Drosophila melanogaster: one gene and its partners. The protein of the gene in region 1 interacts with the protein of each later gene in a pairwise test. Each region holds a gene or a part of one and is shown on either strand. Other genes may lie near its edges. The genes, in order: Ctr1B, CG1309, Pis and Ugalt.

Region 1 (5,095 bases):
CGCAATCTTCTCTTTGCAGAGTCGCAGTGTCCGCAGTATGGCGAGGTGAACCAGCTGGGCGGCGTCTTTGTCAACGGCCGTCCGCTGCCCAATGCGACCAGGATGCGGATCGTGGAGCTGGCCCGCCTGGGCATCCGACCCTGCGACATATCGCGCCAGCTGCGAGTGAGTCACGGCTGCGTGTCCAAGATCCTGGCCAGGTACCACGAAACGGGCTCCATACTACCCGGCGCAATTGGGGGATCCAAGCCGCGCGTGACCACACCCAAGGTGGTCAACTACATCAGGGAACTGAAGCAGCGAGATCCCGGCATCTTTGCGTGGGAAATCCGGGACCGTTTGCTCAGCGAGGGCATATGCGACAAAACGAATGTACCCAGTGTGAGCTCCATATCGAGAATCCTGCGCAACAAGTTGGGCAGCCTGGGGCATCAGCACACGCCGGGAACGGTGATGGGCAGCGGAAGCAGCAGCGGTGGCGGCAGTGTGTCCAGCAATGGTGGACAAAACAATGGCACGAGTGCCAGCAATAATATTAATCTGAGCAATCTGGGTAATCCCGGCGGTGGACCGCACCATCCGCACCACCATCATCATCATCAGTCAGCGGCGGCGGCGGCAAGTGCCCATCATGTGCACGCCCACGCCCATGCCCACGCCCACCTGTACAACTCCATCTACCAGCCGTACAGTGCTGCGGCGGCCTACAGCATGAAGACGCCCTGTGGAAGTCCATCCCCGCCGCAGGGAGCGGGCGGTCAGGGATCAGTGCCCCATCCCCACCAGCTGAGGAGTGTGGCCGCCGCAGCCGCTGCCGCCCACTGGCCCTCCTCCCACTCGGTCAGCGATATCCTGGCCCACCATCAGGCTGTTGCCCTGCGCGCCAGTTGCCAAGTGGGCGTCGGAGTGGGTGGAATGGGCGGCATGGGCAGTACGGTATCCCCGCTGCCGATGACTCCTTCGCCGGTGGCGGGAACGGCCGGTGGTCAGCCACTGCTCGACTGCGAGGGTGGGGCGGGACAGCAGTCGCCGTACAACTACTACATGTACTTCCAGAACGGCGGAATGCATCACCACCATCATCACGGCGGAATGATGGCCGCTGGAGCCACGGGCTTATGATTGGGTGGTCTATAATCAGCGGATTGGTTGCGGGTCTAGCTACTTTCGATCGCGGTTGTTCAGTCTAGGTTACTCTAGTCTAAGAGCTAGTTAGGGAATGGTCTCATCATGGCGCTCACTTGTCACTCAAATTTTAAACAAATGCACTAAAAGAACTTATAATTATCCCGGAAATTTCAAAATAATTTAAACTTTAACTAAGAAGCTTGCAAATACTGGTGTGTGGTTAGGCAAGTACAAATAGATAAAGTGTCGTAAAAAAATGTGTGCGAGATGATTCACATAATCATAAGGTTTGCTTAGTTATATTACCTGCCCAGATGTATCACAGCTAAAATATTTGTTAAAAAGATTTTTCAAGATCTTAACTAAACTAAAATATGTACTATTGTGTGATAGGTGAGTATCGTGATTAGTTAGGCCTTCAAATGTGAGTTGTGGGCTGTCAGGACTCAGACCTGGTAATGTTCGCATTTCATAACGAATTTCATGTAATCCTGGAGATTTAACTTTGCCTTCTTTTTTGTCTCATATCGGATTGTTTGCGTTTTGAGTTCGGGGTGGTCAAAAATAAAGTGTATTGCTTATAAAAACATATTGTAAAGTCAAAAGTATTGAGTAGTACTTTAATCGCTTTAGATGAATACGCGTTGTATAGGTTCTTGTTCTCATGACTACACTATTTGTACAATATGCTCATTAAGTAAACTAGTTGACTAATTTATGCTACGATTACATCAATAACAATTAAACCAAGTGTAACTATCGAATAAAATTGTATTTTTAAACAATTTGTATAATTACGTGGGGACGGGACTTTTTCTTTGATGTGTGAACCAAGAACTGATAAGGGCTTAGTTTATAACAATTGCAAGATATATAAACAATTAAGAGCGATATTCTTGATCTAAGGACAGCACTCGCTCTCGTCGGGATTCTTCTTGTTCCAGCCGAAGAAGAAGTAGCCCAGACCCAGTCCCAGGATCACTGCCAGGCACAGCCAGTAGTTGAAGGTCATGAAGATCAGCATCAGCAGGTACGAGATGACGATCTGCAGCAGGTTCAGCAGGGACTGGACGATGTGCGACGAGGCGAACAAGCGCTGCCAGTAGGTCTGCTCCCTCGGCTCCGCCAGGGGAGCTTCCGAGCAGCATCCTCCGGCTGCCGGAGCCTCGTTCTTCCTACGCTGCTCCGCCGCCAGCTGCTCGCTTGCTCGACGGGCTTCCCTGCGCGCCAGTTGCTGTCGCAGGAACTTGAGCGCCTCATACAGGAAGGACACCAGGAAGATGGCCAGGGCGGAGAGCACGAACTCCGTCACAGTGGACGCCACCCATCCGCGCCACAAAATTCGCTCGCAGTGTCCAGCGTGGAACTGAAAGGATGCGAGAGTGAAAGATTAACTACATAAGAATCCATAAGATCAGTAAGATGAGGCTTAAATACCAGTTAACTACCACTAATTACCACTTAATAACTTTCTAATTCGTATCTATATCTAGATTCCTAGATATCTAATATCTAGGTATATCTATATGGTCACTTTTGCTAAGATGATCCTTAATACAAAAGTTTAATATTACTTTTAGTTTTATAAAATATCAAGCTTAAGCTTTCCAATTAAACATCAACATAAACATAACATTCGAATTAAACATCTTTTTTATAATTCCCTTACAGCGGTATAATTTAACCCATGAATCTTTATTCATGAGACACCCTGTTCGAGCATATTCAATTTGTATTATTTGTATTTGCTGAGAGCGAATAAAGCGCTAGAGAGCGAATAATTCGTTGTGGTTTCTGGCACATAAACATACTTATACGAACTTATACTAGGGAGTGACTAGCCAGAGAATTCAAATTCCAAGTCGGACGAGATATTTGTTTGCTCTCCGTGCAAATCTCATTCAGCTAAACTGGATGAGTGACTTTTAAATTACAGCGTTTAGCGCAGTGGTAAGTGATTTTGTATCAAAATTGTTGGACACAGGAGTTGTGTAACTGCGTACTCACCACCATGATCATAGGGCAGGACTTGGCCGTGCTGGTGCTGTCATCCGAGCCGTGATCCATCTTGGGCTGCTGGTGTAGTATAGATATAGATAGAAGGCGTGGAAAATCCGACTGGCGATCGGGGAGGCACAGTGATAAGAGCTAGACCTGCTGAGGTGCTGAGAGCAGAGCGTTGACTGCTTGAAACCCGCTGCTCGCGAGTGGTTTTTTAAAGAAAATCGCACCTAATCCCCCGACGCGGCGATAGGAAAGTGCGCTTATCTATGGGCAATGGGAAAGAGCGTTATCACCCAGTAGCGGCGATACCAACGATAGTCGCCCCACACTAAGAAAGGCAGCCCAGATACAGTCATGTAAATAAACATAAATGCATGCAGATCTCAGTGTTAGAGGTCAGATCAAAAGATATATTCTGGGTATCAGTTGCAGATCTTTATCTCGAGAGATAAAATCCATAATTGATGCGTCGTGGGTTTCTCTGCGGTTTGCAGCTTAATTTATGGACTCATGGCAAAGGTTCGACAATCGATTCGTGTGCAGAATTTATTGCAATTCAGATTATCAATCATGGGCTAATACAACCCCCTGAAATTGTTGCTGTAATACATGATGTTGAAATAATTCCATTATTTCTTCGCTTCGATCACGGTTTTATGGCTCTAGTCGAGTACATTCATACGTAGGTATATGCCCATATTCCGGCATGGGAGCGATAGCAACCGTCGGCCGCCGGATCGCCGGAGGTCTGCCTTAGTCCACTTGGCTTTCCTAGAGTGTTATTTCTTACTGTGCTATTTCTAACTGGGATAGAATGCCGCCAAAATTGATGGCCGTGCGCAAACCTTCTGCGGCCGTGTGCATAAATTCTACGGACATTCCTGCGCCGTGTGCCAATTTCGAAAAATGGGCGACGTGCGCAAAACATTAACGATATTGCAGAGGGGTAAATGGTTGGGTCTACGCAAAAAAGAGAGCAAAAGCTTTTGCTAAACTGCTTAGGTGGAGATAACTGTAAAGAAGCTTTAGTTATTAGTATTGGTAAAACGAAGAACTACATTCCGCATATGTTCTTCTGTGTTTAGATATATAAATATGACTTTGGTGAAACACAACTCAAAAGTTAACAATTAACACAAGTTGTTTACAACTTTAATATATTTGTCTTTGAAACTTAAATTCAAATTTTTATCGCCAAATGCAGCAGTGCCACCGGATCATATTGTTTTTTCATCTATCCGGCAACTCTTTGTCTGCCTTTACCCGGATGGCAGCCCTTTGACATTCCCAACCAAAGTTCCATTAAACATCTTGCCATTTTTTGACTGTGAGTTTACGAACAAATACAACTTAACATCGTGTGACTTAATGCTTTAATCGTTGAAGGTGCTAGTGCAAGGCAAATCGCAATGTATGCGCTTCGACACCTGCGACTCCAGAGCGCTAGGCACTTCCGCAGCTCTTATGCAGCGGCGGCAACAACAAAACACATGCTGCCCCGGCAACCAGCGCGTGTTCTGATTGGAGATTGGAGCACTTGGGATAAGTCCCGGCTGCAGGATGTATGCTCCAGGAGTTCGAGTACCGCCACTGAGCCCGTGAAGCAGCAAACGCCGCTGCAGGAACTCGTGTCGGCCGCCAAACCCTATGCCCAACTAATGCGAATCGACCGGCCTATTGGCACCTACCTCCTTTTCTGGCCTTGCGCCTGGAGCATAGCGCTCAGCGCGGATGCGGGCTGCTGGCCGGACCTCACCATGCTGGGTCTGTTCGGCACCGGGGCACTGATAATGCGCGGCGCCGGGTGCACCATCAACGATCTCTGGGACAAGGACATCGATGCCAAAGTGGAGCGCACGAGGTTGCGGCCCTTGGCCTCGGGTCAGATCAGTCAGTTCGATGCCATAGTATTCCTCTCGGCGCAGCTCAGTCTGGGTCTTTTGGTGCTGGTCCAGCTCAACTG
Region 2 (5,649 bases), on another chromosome or scaffold:
CTTTGGGACAGGCGTGAATACATCCGGTTGGTCGGGGAACGGTGCAACCCTCCTCGCAGTTGGCACAGCCAGTTTGCGCAGACATATCCTGGGGAAGCGGTACGAAATGGCAAACCAATGAACACTTGTGATTGCCGCACTTAAGCTGACGTGCACACGATCGCTGACAGGAAGTGGGTTTGGAGTTCCAGCATGGCCAAGTGGCAACCTCATGACCTCCGATACAGGTGACAATGACGCCTTCCTCGCACCGTGGATGTGGTAATGCCTTATACTCATACTGTAAAACAAATTGTAGAGTTTTAATGTTGAGATAGGTGAGTTTTGTGATTATAGTTACCTTTTTGGCCTGTGGCCTAGCCTCTTTGGGTTTATTAACTCTAACTGCCTCGTGGCATCGTGCCTTACAGATGTGCCCACACTTGCTGGTGTCATTGGGTAGACCGCACACTTGGCCACATGGAGGACAGTCACCCTTGTGACAACGATGCTTAATGGCATGGTGACATTTGGGAGTTATGCTGCAAGAAGTGAGATTAAAAGTCGGTCATTATATATTGCGAAAGAAATACGAACCGACAGAGTTCCAAGCAGACAATGCGTGCACTTCTTTCCCTGCCACAAGGAACACTTTTTTTGGTCTTTCCACAGCGGCAGTTAATCTGGGATTCCAGTTTACACGGATAGCAAGGTCCGTTGTGGCACACGGACTGACATTTGTGCTTGTTGCAGCTCAGCTGCTTGCCACAAATCTTTTCGCACGGTGGACACTGGTCCCCACAGCACTTTAAAAAAGGTTATTGGTTAATTCGGCTGTATACATTTAAAATGCTTGCGTGCTCTTATACCTTTCTATTGCATGCATGCTTGCCGCAATCACGCATTTGCTTGCATTTAGTCTCGCATGCAAACTCTTTGGAGCAGGGCAACTCCTTTTCGTGCAGACCACAACGACACTTCTTTTTGGTTCTTATTGGGCACTGTAAGAAACATATTTCATTAGAGAATCGATTTGCTTCCCTGGTGGCTATCTTACGGAAATGCAAGGTCCACGATGACAACGCTGGGTGCAAGTGTGCTGGCCACAGGACAAAAGTTTTTGGCACGTATCGCCACAGGTTTCCTCTGTCTCATTACAGGGTCTTACCTGGGTCTACAGAATTAGGTAATCATAAATGAATATAAACTTGTAAATAAATATATCACATACATTCTTGCCGCATGGGCAACTCCTGACTTGCAAAGGACACTCTCCATCTCCGCAGGGTCCAGCGTGACACACCTTCTCGCAAATGTGCAAACCACAAGCAAATGGAGCTCCACAAACCTGAAAGAATATTAATGTTGTTTTATGCTTCAGCTTCAAAAGGCTTTTCTTACATTCTGACACTTCCATTTCCGATCGGAGCAGTTGACCATCTTCGACTCCCGCTGGCACTCGCAAGGTTGTAAGCTTTTGCTGGTGCATGGAGGACACTTTCCTGGCTGATGACACACCTGATTACATTTGTGCTTGCCGCAGGCTAGAAGTTCCTTGCACTGGAAAATCATTTTTTTAGTATGGTGGTCAGACAAAATTTCTTAAAACGTTAAGACTTACAGTCTGCTGACACGTCCACTGCTTGTCAATGCACCTCACGGACCTAGGACTAGATTTACCACACAGGCACGAGACCTGCGCCTGCTGCGCACAAGGAGGACATGGCCCCGGATGACATAGCAGCTTGCAATCGTGCCCACACTTCGGTTGCAAAAGCTTTCCGCAGTGCTCTCCGCATGAGTGGGGCACAAGGAAGGGCTGGTTCTCGGGGTTCACCTCCTTGCCGCAGAAGCAGTTGTACTGCGTGGGCTTATCGGCCGGTTGGTAGTCCCTGCGGCACTTGGGGCAGCACCAGTGAAGGGATTTCTGTCGCTTGGGCGGCACAAATTCGCCCAGATGATTGTAGTGGCCCTGGCCGTTCTGCTGCTCTGCCGCCTTTACCTTCATCTGCATCATGCTGTCGTTGGCCCACCGTTGGATGCACTTCAAGTGAAAGAAGCAGTAACAGCTCTCGCAAGACCAAATGGCCTCCACCCGCCGAATGCTTCCGATGCAAATGAGACAGGTTGCCGCTCCCGAGTGTAGAGTGTTTTCCAGAAACGTACTGGTGCGTGCCGCTTCCTTTGAGCTTCCTGCGTTGTCCGACGGTTTGTAGTTCTTGTATAGGAGTTCTGAAAAGATAAAGCACAAAATTTGATGGTTTTCAAATGACACGTCACAAGCATCGGTCGATTTACCCAAAATGTGATTCTCATCCAGTTCGCCTTCATCCTCGGAGCTGGAGGCGTAGGTGTCCACCAGTTTTTGGGCGGCAGCCAAATTTTTAGCTTGCGCTTTATTAAACTTTTCCATTTTTAAGCCGGCGTTTTTGTCTATCAACTGGGAATAAATTCCTGGGGTAGAACCAGGGATGGCTCGTTCTCTGATAACAGCAATTAGGGGATCTAGTTCCGAAAGGTACACATTTGTGTGAGCTTTCAGTTTCCAATTGGGAATTTCATTTAATTCAAAAAAAATACATACATACACATTAATACCTAAATTATCAAACATCCTCTCTGCATATTTTATTGCATTTAATAATTTGGACCAACATTTTGAAGTTTACAATTAATAGGTCAGGTATCTAATGTGGCAGCCCTGGTATTCGATGTTAAACATCTGTTCGTGAGTGCGACACCCTGGAACAGCTTTCACATCATTTGCAACAAAATAAAATAGAGAAAATTAAATATATCCAGACATACCGACTACGATCCGATCCAAGATGAGTTTCCTAAATTACGTGTTTGGCCCCAACCTCTACATGGAATACCGCGGTGTGCCGGAGCCGCAGCGCAAGATGTACGAGGCAGGTGCCGTGGAAAAGTTCGGGGAGCAGATTCTATCGACGGTAAGTGCCCTGCGATCCCATGGGGCAGAATCTGGAGCATATGGTAATGTGGAAAATCGACACTCTCCGTTGCAGCTATCGGTTATGTGGTCCGTGGGCTATTATACTTCTCCGCTGCTCGTCACATTCCTATACCGACGCGGCTACCTGGTGACCGATTCCATACCGACGCTGGCCAAGATCACCACCAGCGTGGGCCTCATCGTCATCCTATCGCTGGTGATGCGCGGCCTGGGGCGCAAGCAATCGCGCTCCTACTCCAACATGATTAAGGCCCTCGTCCGAGCAAAGTCCTCCAAGGCACCAGGAGATGCCAACAGCGAGCTGCGTCGCTTCGACATCGAGTTCAACGCTTGGCCGGTGGACTTTGATGTGAAAGCTCTAACCGGGTGAGTGGGCTACGCCTTTGAAGTGTGCCAGAATAACATCTTCGTTTTCAGTGATACCAAAAAGCCGGTGGTTACGGCTAGAAGGCGGGAGCCCATCCAGCTGGCGACACTGCCCTGTGAGGCCATCGCCTACCTGGCCATAAACACCTTTGGGCTCTCCATGATCTATCCGGGTTCGGTCAAACTACTCCAGAAACTTATGAGTAAGAAAGATATACATATGTGAAGCTGTCTGAAATGTTGTTAAATTGCAATCCGATAAGCCCATAAGATAGACTTCTACATATACTGAACCTAAAATATTTTGCAGGACCCATGCTGATCTCCGGACGCGCCAAGCTCATCGAGGATGACAACGGCATCCGCTACAAGGTTAAGACCATTGACTCGAACGAAATCGATACGTTGTTCATTGACAATCGCCCAAACAACGTGGGAAATGGCAAGACTCTAGTCATTTGCTCCGAGGGCAATGCCGGTTTTTATGAAGTGGGCATTATGGCCACCCCAGTGGCCTTAAAGTATTCCGTTTTGGGCTGGAATCATCCCGGATTTGCCGGCAGCACAGGCACTCCTCATCCCCACCAGGACAAGAACGCCATCGATGCCGTGGTGCAGTTTGCCATCAACAATCTTAGGTTCCCCGTAGAGGATATAATTTTGTATGGCTGGAGCATTGGTGGCTTTAGTACACTATACGCTGCCTCTGTGTATCCGGATGTCAAGGGAGTGGTACTAGACGCCACCTTCGACGATGTGCTCTACTTGGCCGTTCCTCGCATGCCAGCTGCACTGGCGGGCATTGTCAAGGTAGCCATTCGAAACTACTGTAATTTGAACAATGCCGAACTGGCCAACGAGTTCAATGGACCCATATCCTTTATTCGCCGCACTGAGGATGAGATCATTGCAGAGTGAGTGATAACTTTTGCATTTGGGCAGAGGTCTTTCCTAAAACGTAACCCATTGATTTCCATTAGGGACAACCACATTGACACAAACCGCGGAAATTTCTTGGTCTTGTCAGTGCTCAAGCACCGGTATCCCAACATTTTTGGGGCTTCCCAGTTGAATAAGGCCAAGGGGCTGCTGTCTAAGCCCCTGGAACCATACAGTATCCCCGTCGCCGACGAGAAGCTGTGCATGTCGCGCCTGATCACCTACGCCTCTGACGAGGGCAAGTCATTCCCCATGAACATTGGAGCAGATTACTCGGAGGAGGTGCGCAATCTGATGGCTGTGTTCTTGGTGGGTTTATTCGGCAGTTTAAATGGTCTATATATCTAATACTGTTCACCTTTCAGCTGCGCAAGCATTTACGTGACTATAACTCGACGCACTGCACCCAGCTGCCCGGGGAGTTCTTTACCATGCCGTGGGACATACCCACTGAGCAGGGATTTGTGTTCACCTAAGCTCATTCCGCAGGTGATCCACGGCCGTATGCTTAGATTTAGTAAAATGGTTTTTAGTAATTTTTGCCTTCTGACTGCTTATTAAATTATTCTAACTGGGAACAGCCGGGTAGCTGGTGTCTTCTGAACTGGTGTGAAATTATATACAAAATAAATGTCACAAGCTAAACTAGACGCGTCGTCTTGTGGTTAGTTTCTATTTCATGGTACAGCTAAAATTGGAGGGGAGGGGCAGTTCAACACTTAGTTCCTACGAGTTCTTCTTTGATCCACCGAAGCCGGAGAAGCCCATGATGGCGGCCATGTCGTCGGGCATGCCGCCGGACTCGAAGTCCGTGTCCTCGGCCTTGCGCTTCCGCTCTTTTCGCTTCTCCTTGCGGTGTTCCTTGTAGCGATCCTCCTCCTCCTTGGCCTCCCGCAGGCGGCGCTCGAGCTCGTAGTCTTTCTGCTTCTCCTCCATCTTCTTCTTGTTCTGCTGGAAGCGCTCCTTTACCTGGTCGACGGTGCTCCGCTCCACCTTCATGGACATGCCCAGATTGCGCTGGTGCTTCTTGCCATTGATGTGGTCCAGAAAGTTGATGGAATCCTTGACCACGCAGTCGCAAACGTTGCAGTAATAGCCACCGGATTGCGAGGTGGGTGTGTTCTTGTTGATGACAACGCTCTTGCCCAGCTTGCTGTCCAGGTCCACCTTATAGTCGCGTCGCTTGAGGTTCTCCCGCTGTACGGGTTCTGGTGAAAAACAAAAAGACTTTTATTATGTGTGCCTTCCAGGGAATTTAGACACTGACCTTCTTCCTTGGGTGCCACCTGGTTGAGCAGCCGCTCCGCCGCCAGCTTCTCGTACTCGTTCTTGTCCCATTTCCTTCGGTGGTCATCAGGTCGCATCGTCATGGTGGCGCTGGGATGACA
Region 3 (6,033 bases), on another chromosome or scaffold:
TATATACAATTACGAAGTGGACAGGCAGAAAGAACTATAACTTATAAATACAACCAACCAACTATATACAAAACTGCTTGTGATCTTGCGCTTATATAATTTCGTTTAATTCTTCGCTAGGTTTCATGTAAACATATATATAAAAAATGAAAAGTGTACTTTATTTTTTTGTAATTTATTTAAGCCTTAACTATATATTTAAAAATTAAAAAATCTAAACTACAACAACAGACGTATGAATGATTAAGCGAATAGTAGTCGCAGCAAATTGTGTGAGAAACGATGTTAAACTGCCCTCCCAAATCGGAACCGTGATTTAGTTGCTCGCGGATTCGAACAAGACAATTAAATATTCTTCGATTCGATTTAAAACACAATGCAAAGTAAATGGAAATTGTAACAGGCTTAGGAAGGATTAATGGGTATTACATGAAACGTACATGCATACATATATGAAAATTTACAAATTACATAAACAAACAGATATTATAGGATATTTAACAAATTGGAATTGTAAACTCCAGCGAAAAACAAAAAAAAAAAAAGTTTTGTAAGCAAACACAAAGAAATCACGAAATTCGATTCGGAATATCAGTTGTGGCACCCGAAGAGTGTCGCATTAATTAGCTAACTTAATTGAGAAATTGCTAAGAAACAAAAAACAGAAGTTGCTTGACAAAGGTAAAATAAACAAATTAAATGACCAAAATATTGCATTACTATTAATAGGGGGCTTCATAGAACATCTGTTGGATTGATTAGAAACAAGTTGGTGGTTTGTTAGTCATCTTTATCTTCGCACTATCATGCGCATTCCTCTTCATTTATTGTACAAATCACAAATCCTATTACATTTCATTGCGCTTCGCACCTTCTGTTTATTGCTGCATTCACCTGGTCATTCGTTTGTTAATTTAATTCAATTTTTATGCGTGTAGGCACGTTCAAAGGTTAGTTGGTAGACTTGGTTACACTTAAGCGATAGTTGCATGTGTCATTCTCATTCAGTGGTAATGATCCAGTAGTAAATAATGTACAGTACGATCTTAGGTCTAAAATCTAGTAGCTTCGGGCCAGTTCTGCATGCATCACCGCCAGCAGCTGCCTTTCCATGTCGCTCAGCGATCCAAATTCGGCTCCAAAGTCGCGCAGCAGGTGCTTTAGATCGCACATTTTACGCTCCACCCAGGCGCACGTAATCTCCGCCAGCGCATACTGCTGCTGTTCGGGCACAAATGCTCCCGGACGCTCCGCGGATCCACCGTCGTCCGCCGAACAGGGGAGCGACTCGAACTGCGCCAGGTTGTAGTAGTACTCGATCAGCTTGATGTGGGCGGGTGACTGGCGTGCGGGAGGCAGGTTCAAATGGACTAGGAGCAGCAGACGCAGCACCTCAACGCGCCGCAATAGTTCACCGTACATGCGAGCACCGCGTCGCTCGTAAACATTGTCCACAATGTCGTCGTAATGCTGCAGTGCACTGCGAAAATCGCCGCGCTGGCCACTCGTTTCGGCGCTGATTTCCAGGTCATGGATCTGATGGGTGGGCGAGGCAAAGCTGCTGGTGCTGTCCAGCTGCCGCTGCAGCTGCTTCAACTCGCGCAGAATGGCCGCCTTGAAGACGCAACCGTCCACCGCTCGATCCGCCGCACGGTGATAGCAGTGCACCGCTCCCTCCCGAAATCCCGAGTGGCGGGTGCGCAGATGCAGTCGCCCGGACTCGTTGTGCGCCGCTAGGAAGGATCTAGCTGCCCGCAGATAGGCCTCCGATTCGCGCTGCGGTGCGCCGCCGTAGGACTCGCACTTGGCATAGCCAATGTGGCACATGGCCGCATACTGCTGTATGCCCGACTCCTCGAAGCTGTAGGCCAGTCGCTGGAAGTCCGCCTGCACATCGACCACGCTGGGCGCAAAGCGTCTGGGAATTAGAGAAACAGTGGAGTATTGAGATTGTATTCCGTGATTCGAGGGCTTCTAATACACCCGTATTTCTAAACATAGTTTGAAGATGGAGGAAAAGCGATAAATTGGGCAATGACTTGCTAATCAAACGCAATGATCTGCAAGGTATCTGATTGCCCATACTTGGGCCGTAGCTACTCACTTGAAGAAGCCGGCCCGCTCGAACTTCTTGATCTTGCTGGAGGCCCTTAGATATTGCTCGATCAGGTTTTTGGGGTACTGATACTGCTCCAGTTGGTGGTGCTCATGGCCCGGAGCCGTCGATGGCGCGCCGCTGGAGGATCCGCCGCCGCCCAGACTGCCGCCGCGGAGTTTATCCATGCTACAGCATGTGGTTCTCCGCGCAGGTTACTTCGGGTCGCGCTACTTGTGCATTATATTTTCGCCTGTATTGTGTTTTTATTATTATTTGTGAAAACTTTATCGCGGGCGGTGTGACCATGCCATGTCCCGCTGAGGAATATACTAGCTTAGAAGCGGTATGCAAAGATCCATTTACACTGCTCAACGGCAGCGAAAATGTATCAAAACGGCACGCAAATCGCTGTCAAAACTCATTTAACAAGCAACTACACTAGTTGCCCGGTTTTGGTAGCTCATGTTAATAATCTAGTGACCTTTAATTTGTATTTGATACATTTAAAATGATATACTAATTACTAAATTTCTATTGGAAGAGAAAAATAGAAACTAGAAACAGATGTGTGTCAGTGGAAACCATCTGAAATCTTGTTGGCCAGTATAGTTCGGTATTTTCTCTCAAGTCTTTGTTTGTTTTTTCCAAAGGTCACGCTGCGGTCACACCAGATACAGCAAATTCTGTTTCCACTGTTTTTTCTGCAGCACTTTTGGCATTTAATTGGATAAAAACAAGCCGCAAAGCTAGAAGATCGCAAAATAAACGAAAAACCAAAGTGGCGAAACAAAATGACAATTGCCGAGCACGATAACGTCTTCATCTTTGTGCCAAATCTGATCGGTGAGTGGCTGTTTGTAGGTTTTATTCCGTGCTCCAGCTAGGTAAACAAATCGCATGTTCGATTTATGCGGCGCAATAATAGCGATTCTAGTGTTCCCTAATTGGATTAATAGGGGCTGTTTGGCAGCTAGTGCAATGCGAAGCGCAAGTTCAGCGATAAGAGCCGCTTCGTCCAACCCAATTGAGTCACCTCCAATGATTCTATACGTATGATGCACGCATATGTGCTGATTTATATTGATCTTTTCCAGGCTACGCCCGCATCGTTCTGGCCCTGATCGCCTTCTGGTTCATGTCCACCAACTATGTGATCTCCGGCTGGTGTTATGTAACCTCCGCCCTCCTGGACGCCGTCGATGGACAAGCAGCCCGAGCCTTTAACCAAAGTAAGCATTAACCATGCGATCGCCCTTGATATCGAAATGCCAGCTCATGCCAGCTATATGTCTGTATTTGATTTGTGCGCGCACTTTGGCCGCTAGCGCATTGCAAACACCTGTCTCCTCCGTACTGGTTATCTGCCGATATTGTGGAATTGTAGGCACGCCCTAAAGAGCCCGATATGGTCACGGCTATCCAGCCAATCGATGGATGACGTGGGGCTGAAGAATAGATAGAAAGCATGGCTAATATTGCCTTGGAACTATGCAATGTAGTTAGCAATATAGGAGGAAAAACATTAGGATAGAAGCCTTCTAAGAAACAAATTGCAGATACCATGCAATGTTTATGATATAGTAGTGTAGCAAACTGAAAGGTATGATCTTGCACTTGGATTTGTTGTATGCTAGCAGGATGATTTAGAGTCTTAACGAAAGGGTACTCCAACCAAAATATGTATATCAAAATATTAGTAATTATCATATGGTACTATGGAATCTTTACTAAATACTCGATTACCTCACAGGCACTCGCTTTGGCGCCATGCTAGACCAGTTGACCGATCGCTGCGGCACCACCGGCCTACTGGTCACCCTGGCCTACTTCTATCCCCGGTACATGTTCTGGTTCCAGCTGTCCATCGCCATCGACGTGGCCTGTCACTGGCTCTTCATGCAGACGTAAGTGGGGCAGGGGAAAGAGCAAGATGCTGGACGTCTGGACTGTCAAGGAATGGAAGGAAACTAATGACTCGTGGCTTTGTCTTTTTGCAGGAGCGTTGTGGTCGGACGCAGCTCGCACAAGGTGAATGACAACTTCATAATGCGATTGTATTACCAGAAGGACATACTCACATTCATGTGCTGCGTCAATGAGCTGTTTTACGTGTGCTTGTACCTCTTGCATTTCACCTACGGCCCGCTGAGTGAGTATACGCACACGCACATGCTTTGCATTTCAGCTGGCGAAACGTATCTAATCCGTTGATGGACTTCAATTGCAGTATTCGGCGCATCGCTCTTCAAGATACTCGCCTTCCTCACGGGTCCCTTTGCCGTGCTCAAGGCCCTGATCTCGGTGATGCACGCCTACGTGGCGGGCATCGATCTGGCGGCCGTGGATGTACGCGAGCGGCAGGAGCGGCGCCAGAAGTCGGAGCCGGTGAGCGGCAAGAAAGTGGAGTGAAAATGGGATGCGATCCGGGATCAATCTTCCAGCGACAGTTCTATCAACAGAAAGTACTAAATGAAACAACTCTTGATTCCAAGCTAAAAAAACAGAATTTTGAAGACGAATTGCGATCAGATGAAATATGGGCATTAGGCAACCAAATAGGCCGTAGTAGGAATTTAATTTATTTTTAATGCGCTATTGCAATGATTGTTGATTTTATTTGATATATTTTAGTTAGACGGGTGGTGAAATCACCCGACAATTTGTATTTAATAGATTTTTGAATTGAAATTTAAGCGATTCGTTCCAGTCAGTAGCTGTTGCATATTTATTTTGCCTTTAGTTAGCGTAGTTTACACGCTATATATGTATATATATGCCAATGCGTAAATGCAGGCCGATATACTATGAATGAGTGTCTATTTCCAGGATTTATCTCACTGTGCACGTTTTGGGTTTGACTAACCACCTTGTCCCAGCAACTCTCTCAATGTAACTAATGTATTTCTAATCGTAAGTTAAAGAATGTAATTGGAGACCTGCATGAAATATATACGACAAATGGATGTTAGATGTATTTGAAACATTAACATATATGTACCATACATGCCAGGCCTGGCAGACTTAGTCAAAATTGAAAAGTGAAAATAAATATATGTGGTTCTATGCGCTAAATTTTAGTTTAACCTTTTGGGCCATCGATTTTTGAAATTTGCGCCACACAAAATTTATCGTTAGACATCAAAATTATCGTTGGCACATCCCTGGCTGGCCGCTCAGCTGCGCCGCCTGTGCAGCCCTGATTTTTACACAACATAAACATTCGATTTTGGAGGAGCTCTTTTTTCGAGAGAATACCAGGTCGTTGGACACGGGAGATGCTCTGATTAGGGGCGCATGTGGAGCAGCCAACGCCGGAATCGCCGACATGAAAATCCTCTCCCGTCTGGGTCGCCTGATGCGCTACACGGTGGCCTACGCGGCAATCACACACTGCACCTTCGAGTACATTGGCGATTTCGTCCTGGTAAGGCGTCTAGGATGAAGTTCCTGGGCGGGTATACTTGCCCAACATGTGCCAGCATCACATAGTTCGTGTGAATGCATTAAGGTACTCTCCACTTGTTTTTCCACCTTGTGTAACTTCCACTTGATATCCTTCTTTTGCGGAAAAGTACGTACACTCACATTAATGCAACCATTTCCAGTGCAAAGGACCCTCCATGGAGCCCACCCTGCACTCGGACAACGTTCTTCTCACCGAGCGCTTGTCGAAACACTGGCGAACCTACCAGCCCGGCGACATAGTCATCGCCATATCGCCCATCAAAGCCGATCAGTTCATTTGCAAGCGTATCGTGGCCGTTTCCGGTGATCAGGTGCTAATCCAGAAGCCCATTCCCATTGAGGCGGAGTTTAGTGGTAATTCGGATGACAAGAAGAAGCCCGTGATGGTCAAGGACTATGTGCCGCGCGGACACGTTTGGATTGAGGGTGACAACAAGGGAAACAGCTCGGATTCCCGCTACTACGGACCC
Region 4 (5,933 bases), on another chromosome or scaffold:
CTGCGCGTCTTCGAACTCGTGATGTCCCTGCAGACTCAATCCAATGACGTTGGCCTCGCCTGGCTAGATTAGCGTCCCCACCCACCTCCTTAGCACCTAATGTCATGTACCACACTTAATTTAAATCAATACTCTCTTCTGTAGCCATCGCAACCGCATCACTTCGCAGCCAATAAAGCTTATATTAAGTCTTCTGGCGGATGGCTAAGATTTTGCTTTAGTTTTAAAAATGTTCCGTAATCCCACACTCGCAAATGCACATACTTTTGAATGGTATCTGCTGAATTTGCAACACGTTATGATTTTTATTAAGGTGTTTTTTTTTTTTAAGGGTAGAGGCAAAGGTTTACTCTTTTATAGATGAACTAAAGTTCTTCAGTTAAGAGGAAACCTTCCTTGGCCAATAAAGCAAAAAACTGACCCCAAAACCTTTGTTGTGCTTTTACTTATCGTGGGTTGAAAGTTGTTATTACTTTTTGATGGAGTAAAATACGCCTTTTATTCGTCTAATATTTATTCAAAGGAAATGAAACATATCGATATGGAATCACTCTTAAAACACTGTGCGAGTAATGCGACTTTAGTTCAAATACAAATATATAAGTCTGGGCTGGCTCAACCTAGGATTTCTCAAAAATAAAGTAATTGGCAATGAATAAATAATGCACATTCAAGTAAATATATATACATATATATGATCTTCTAAAAAAAAAATTCGAACAAAAGTAGTTGTGGCTGTGAATTGGCCGAACATCAAGTGTAACTTGAAAACTATAAATCGTTACAAATCTTAGTCTAAACTTGAGTGCAAGTGGATATTTACAAAAGGATAGGCACGGTATGTGTGGTGTTGTCCAGTAAATACTGCTGGCATTCCTCAGCATTCGCAAAGTAACAATTAAAATGATCAATAAAACGTGCATTCAAGCTGCATCATTTCATTAACTACACTTTAGTTTCGCTAGTGAATACCCTAAATACATTTAAATTACATAAATCATTAAGTATTCTTATCGCTGCTTTACATTACAATTATCGTCTCAACAGAAAGTGCTACGAATTGTCCAGACGTTAATATCCATCCTAATATATATACACACAAAACGTGGGGAATATCAAGGACACCGGATGCACCGGATACACCAGAGCAATTACCGAACGGCGGCCTCCGGGTTACGGACAAATACTGTTGGCAGATCCGGATTCCTCCAGAGCTAGACGCGCGGCAGCAGCTTCTCCTCATCGCCGCCAGGACCATGCATAGTTGGCTTCGGCGCCGACCTGGCCGGATCGTAGCCGTAGAGAAATATGGAGGCGATGACCAGGCCAGCTCCGAAGCTGAACTGCAGCGTGAGATTGAAGTCGAAGATGTATATGGAGGCCACGCACGAGATGATGATGGCCAGCGAGGTGGCGAAGCCCTTGAGAATGTTATCCGCGTACTTGACCACCACGGCAACGATCAATCCACCGCCGGCCTGCAGCAGGACCAGGTACCAGACAAACAGATCGTAGCCCTTGAAGAATCCCTGGTCGAAGATCCTACTGCCGTCGTTAACGAAACAGGTGAGCAGGCCGAAGGGAATGCTGAGCAGACTCAACTGCACATTCCGCATCCACACGGAGATCTCGGCACCCTTGAGGATCTTCTCAAAGTAGATGCCCGCGAATCCGGAGAGGAAGCAGGCGCCCAGTGCGGCCCACAGTCCGAGCATCCTGTTCTGCTCGGGAGCACCGCCAGAGGAGGCGGCCGTGGCTGCAGCTGCGGCACCACCGGCTGAGCCACTCGTCGGACCCTCCGTTTGGGCCAACTGCACCAGGACGATGCCCATCACCAGGAGCAGCAGCGCACCCCACTGCGTGTTCAGCAGCTTGCGGCGCAGAATGACAACCGCGAACATGGCCGTGGTGAGAATCTTCAGCTGGTACGTCACCTGGTAGGTGGCCGCATCCAAATGGGAGGCAGAGACGTACAGCAGATTGTTTTGAACGATATAGACCAGCGAGGGGACGCACACCTTCAGCGTGTCCATGGGATTCGCAATGATGGTCTTGTGCAGCGAGCGTACAAACTTCTGGGCATCCTTGCCCTCCTCGTTGAAGACCAGGAACAGGCACGTGATCAGTTTGGCGAACTCTGCCATGAGTACGGCTGCGAAAGAGGGCGCAAAATGGCAATCAATCAATCAAATATATGTACATATATACTAATAAGTCCAAGTATCGCTGTTCGGGTTTTCAAATAAGTCCGGTTAACTTACACACAGAGTCACCAAAGCAATAACCAAAGTTTAATGGCAAAATGTAAACCCATATGTAATTCAAGAATGCCAACCAAACCTCCTTGAGCTATCGCGGTAGAAGTTCCCCAACAGTTTTATCAAGCTATTAGGAGCTAAATGCGGAAGTGGCTGCTTATCAGTTTCTTTGGCAGCTTCACATCTACCCGAACGACCATTCCCCGCCTGCCACTGCTCCTACACCACCTTCACCTCCACCTCTTCGACTCGTTTGCTTTTACTGCTGATGTTGCTGCTTGCGTGGACAGACCCACGTCGAGGTTTCGTGGAAGTGGCTCTGGGCAACGAGGTGAATCTGCTAAGCGGTGAACCGGCTTGACCTGCTGAGCCCGACGACCTGTTGGACTTTTGGATAAGCACTCACCCGTGGAGCTGAGGAAGATGTCGCCTGGCCGGGTGCGGGCGTAGCGCATGCTGAGGCCCAGGATGGCATTCTGCAGGGTCAGCGTCAGCAGGCTGATGTACTTCAGCGTATTGGCGTTCACTGTGCGATGGGAATAGGAATACGTGACGGGGGCGGGCAGGAGCGCCATGTCAGTACCGCTGGAGTAACGCCACCGCACTAAAGGCCAAATACTCACTGTGTATGCTATTCATGGTGCTACGCTTCTAGCTCTATTGTCTCAACTCCAAAACCAAATAGAAACCGAAGGCAAACAAAACGCCGTAGTTGGGGGTACACAAAGACTCCGTTCCTGGCCAAGATCAGTTGTCGGCGGGCCGTTCCGTTTGGCAGTTCGTTCCCTTCAAGTTGGCCAGAAAAGCAGAAGAGCGCAAATGAAGACGACTCCACTGGACCGGGCGACACGTAAACAACAATCAGAGCCCGAAGCTTCTGCCAGCGGCGGCTTTTTATCGCCGCCTATGTGGTTGTTGTTGCTGCGCGCCAGGGACGTGGTCCTGGGCTTGCAACGGGGGTCATAAATGCGAAACCTTCTTAATTGAATGCAAACAAAATTTAAAAGTGCATTGTGCATTTCAGTAAAGTAAATACACCTTACATATGCTCCTGGGGGATGGATCCCCATTTTAAAGCAAGCTACGCCCATGGCGTGCAGCTTTTGTTGCTATTTTCGCAGCAGAGACCGACTTTTCGATAGTCACAGTGCTGGCATTGTGGCGGAACTCGCGAAAAAAGAAGTTGCTTGCAAAAAAAGCTAGATATACAATAATCGGGCATTGAGATTGCTTAAATTAATGTATATATTATGACTTTAAAATTAAAATTAAAATTTAACAAGAGAGCATGGGGATCGAAAGTAGAAAACAAGAAAACTCATGGACGAAATACATAAATACATATTGTGCATGCTTGTTCTACATGCACATGTATGTTAAATTTTTAAGCCCAGCGAAATTTATTTTTGCCGCACTAGGTTGGCTATTTACTCAGCTGCCGTTGAAAATACGTCATGAAAGCCAGTATATGCAGACAATTAAAATAAACATAAAACATCAAATTAAGCCAGTGAATGATGAACAACCTGTTGGCGGCACCTGATAATTGCGATGCATCAAATTTACAATACAACATTACAAATATATTGCCATTTGGGGGGATTAAATAAATTAATTTAATCAAATGCAATAAATGAAAACATTAATAATTTCCGTGTTGATTTTAAATCTTTTACTTTTTTGAGTTCATCACTAGAATTCGCTTTCGCCTGCCGCCTATCGATAACATTGCTCGGTGTGGCGATTTCGTAAATAGTTTTCTAACTGAATAATGGTAACAGTTGGCCACTTTAGTTGATAATTCATAATTGCAAAGACCAGAGACGCCAGGACACGATGAAGGAACAGCCGCTAAAGGAGATCACACAGCTCATCCACGCCATCAAAGTGGGGTAAGTCGTCGGTTGGCAGGCACTGCGATTCATTTGGTTGTTAAAGTGGCATATGTTTTGCAGGCTGGTGGAGGGATCCTACAACATAACCAACAAGACGCTGGACATCTTCAAGTACATCATCATGAGCAAGAGCTGGCAGAACGCCGAGTGAGTTGCAAGGGATGGCACACCAAGGATAACACATTAACTGATAAACAACTCCCCCTCATTTGACAGTGCTCTCATGCAGATTGTGCGCGACCAGTGTAAGATCCTGCAGGCAGCTCTGCCCCAGGAGACGGTTACCTCGAACATTGCCAGGCGGATCCTCAAGCTGACTCGCGAGGAGTTCGATCTGTTGCACGCCAAGGTGCAACACTTCGCGGACGACTCACAGGCCTCGCTGTCGCTTCACAAGCTAGTCACGCAGACCAGCGAGAGCAACGTCAGCGTAGATTACTCGGTGCCCCAGCATGGATTGCGGGAAGCGCTGCTCGACCACCTGCAGGAGGTGGAAACGGAGCTGGAGACCAGTTCGGAGAACATCTGCGTCCAGGCCGAGGAGCACATCCATTCGTCGGAGATCATCTTGACACTGGGACACTCGCGCAGCGTCGAGAATTTCCTCAAAAGGGCGATCAAAAAGCGTCAGTTTCTCACCATCATCGTAGCCGAATGTGCGCCAGCCTGCCGGGTTAGTTGGGTCTCTTTATGGGACGACAGTATTTGTGGGGTGTAAGAAAATGCTCTTATGTTGCTTAACAACTGCCTATGTCTTTTACAGGGTCACAATTTGGCCGCCAGCTTGGCCAACGAGAAGAATGTGGAGATTGTTGTGATCCCAGATGCGGCCATCTTCGCTATGATGTCGCGCGTCAACAAGGTAATAATCGGTACGCACAGCGTGCTGGCTAATGGAGGACTCAGAGCGGCGTGTGGAGCGTATACAGTGGCCCTGGCCGCCAAGCATTACTCCGTGCCGGTCATTGTACTGGCGCCCATGTACAAACTCTCACCATTGCATCTGTGCGAGCAGGACGCCTTCAATATGGTCGGCTGTGCGGAGGATGTGATACCCTACGATTCGATTCCAGCGCGCGAAGCCAAGGTATACAGTCCCATGTTCGACTACGTGCCTCCGGAACTGGTCACCCTTTTCATATCCAACACGTAAGTAGTGCGCTTATCGGCCTTTCGACTCTTTTTTATTGCATTTATTGGATTCTTTTTTTACTTAGCGGTGGCCATGCCCCCTCGTATGTGTACCGCCTCCTTACGGAACTGTATCATCCCGAAGATTTGGAGATTTGAAATCGTGTTTGTCTCGTTGTTTTAGCAATTCTACCAATAAAGTCTACAGTAAAGTAGCAAGCCCATTTCGATTTGGATTGATTTAAATGCATCAATTTCGTAGACATTTATAAACTTTAAAATTCAACAATAATTATATCGAATAAGCAATAACGGTGGATCGGTTTTCGATTTAAGAACATTACTACTTTATCTTGGGTTGATATAGTTAATTTCAGGTAGCACGTTTCTCGTAATTTCCCTGCGGCACACGATCCTCAACCTATTTTTGAATATTTTCAAGCAGCTGCGTGAAGTCGGCCAGGCTATCGGCATAGTAATCCGGCTGCGCTTCCACCGGGGCGTTCAGCATGTCCTCCTTTGTTAGGCAGCCGCTAAGTACCAGCAGGGACTGGAAGCCGCAGGCCTTGCCGAACTGCACATCCTGCACCAGTGTGTCCCCGATGAAGATGCAGCGCTTGCAATCACGAATCTCGAACATTTCGCCAAA

The links.
Region 2: the proteins of Ctr1B (region 1) and CG1309 interact in a two-hybrid assay, tested with the Drosophila melanogaster proteins (one large-scale study listed by BioGRID).
Region 3: the proteins of Ctr1B (region 1) and Pis interact in a two-hybrid assay, tested with the Drosophila melanogaster proteins (one large-scale study listed by BioGRID).
Region 4: the proteins of Ctr1B (region 1) and Ugalt interact in a two-hybrid assay, tested with the Drosophila melanogaster proteins (one large-scale study listed by BioGRID).

Annotation. Positions count from the first base shown.
Region 1 is NT_033777.3:8,315,837-8,320,931, reverse strand, and holds Ctr1B (copper transporter 1B), read right to left. Parts: upstream 3,321-5,095; 5' UTR 3,196-3,320; coding exon 3,136-3,195; exon of another isoform or gene 2,926-3,135; intron 2,495-2,925; coding exon 2,030-2,494; 3' UTR 1,727-2,029; downstream 1-1,726. Other genes in the region: Poxm (Pox meso), read left to right, coding at 20-1,122; Coq2 (coenzyme Q biosynthesis protein 2), read left to right, coding at 4,542-5,095.
Region 2 is NT_037436.4:4,256,736-4,262,384, forward strand, and holds CG1309 (uncharacterized protein), read left to right. Parts: upstream 1-2,694; 5' UTR 2,695-2,807; coding exon 2,808-2,933; intron 2,934-3,008; coding exon 3,009-3,322; intron 3,323-3,373; coding exon 3,374-3,525; intron 3,526-3,632; coding exon 3,633-4,236; intron 4,237-4,302; coding exon 4,303-4,570; exon of another isoform or gene 4,571-4,626; coding exon 4,627-4,737; 3' UTR 4,738-4,908; downstream 4,909-5,649. Other genes in the region: CG15011 (uncharacterized protein), read right to left, coding at 1-280, 341-521, 577-785, 849-980, 1,037-1,153, 1,211-1,327, 1,381-1,539, 1,601-2,211 and 1 more; CG11586 (uncharacterized protein), read right to left, coding at 4,988-5,469, 5,529-5,631.
Region 3 is NC_004354.4:15,700,478-15,706,510, reverse strand, and holds Pis (phosphatidylinositol synthase), read left to right. Parts: upstream 1-2,740; 5' UTR 2,741-2,889; coding exon 2,890-2,941; intron 2,942-3,192; coding exon 3,193-3,327; intron 3,328-3,423; coding exon of another isoform or gene 3,424-3,482; exon of another isoform or gene 3,483-3,698; intron 3,699-3,848; coding exon 3,849-4,002; intron 4,003-4,095; coding exon 4,096-4,247; intron 4,248-4,325; coding exon 4,326-4,507; 3' UTR 4,508-5,060; downstream 5,061-6,033. Other genes in the region: Hap40 (Huntingtin-associated protein 40 kDa), read right to left, coding at 1,060-1,918, 2,105-2,283; CG9240 (uncharacterized protein), read left to right, coding at 5,424-5,522, 5,704-6,033. UniProt on the Drosophila melanogaster protein: Catalyzes the biosynthesis of phosphatidylinositol (PtdIns) as well as PtdIns:inositol exchange reaction. May thus act to reduce an excessive cellular PtdIns content.
Region 4 is NC_004354.4:2,700,624-2,706,556, forward strand, and holds Ugalt (UDP-galactose transporter), read right to left. Parts: upstream 3,123-5,933; 5' UTR 2,898-3,122; coding exon of another isoform or gene 2,882-2,897; 5' UTR 2,834-2,881; coding exon 2,665-2,833; intron 2,153-2,664; coding exon 1,215-2,152; 3' UTR 501-1,214; downstream 1-500. Other genes in the region: Lint-O (L(3)mbt interactor in ovarian somatic cells), read left to right, coding at 1-72; eIF2Bbeta (eukaryotic translation initiation factor 2B subunit beta), read left to right, coding at 4,095-4,150, 4,214-4,300, 4,370-4,826, 4,917-5,302, 5,371-5,443; CG2680 (uncharacterized protein), read right to left, coding at 5,706-5,933.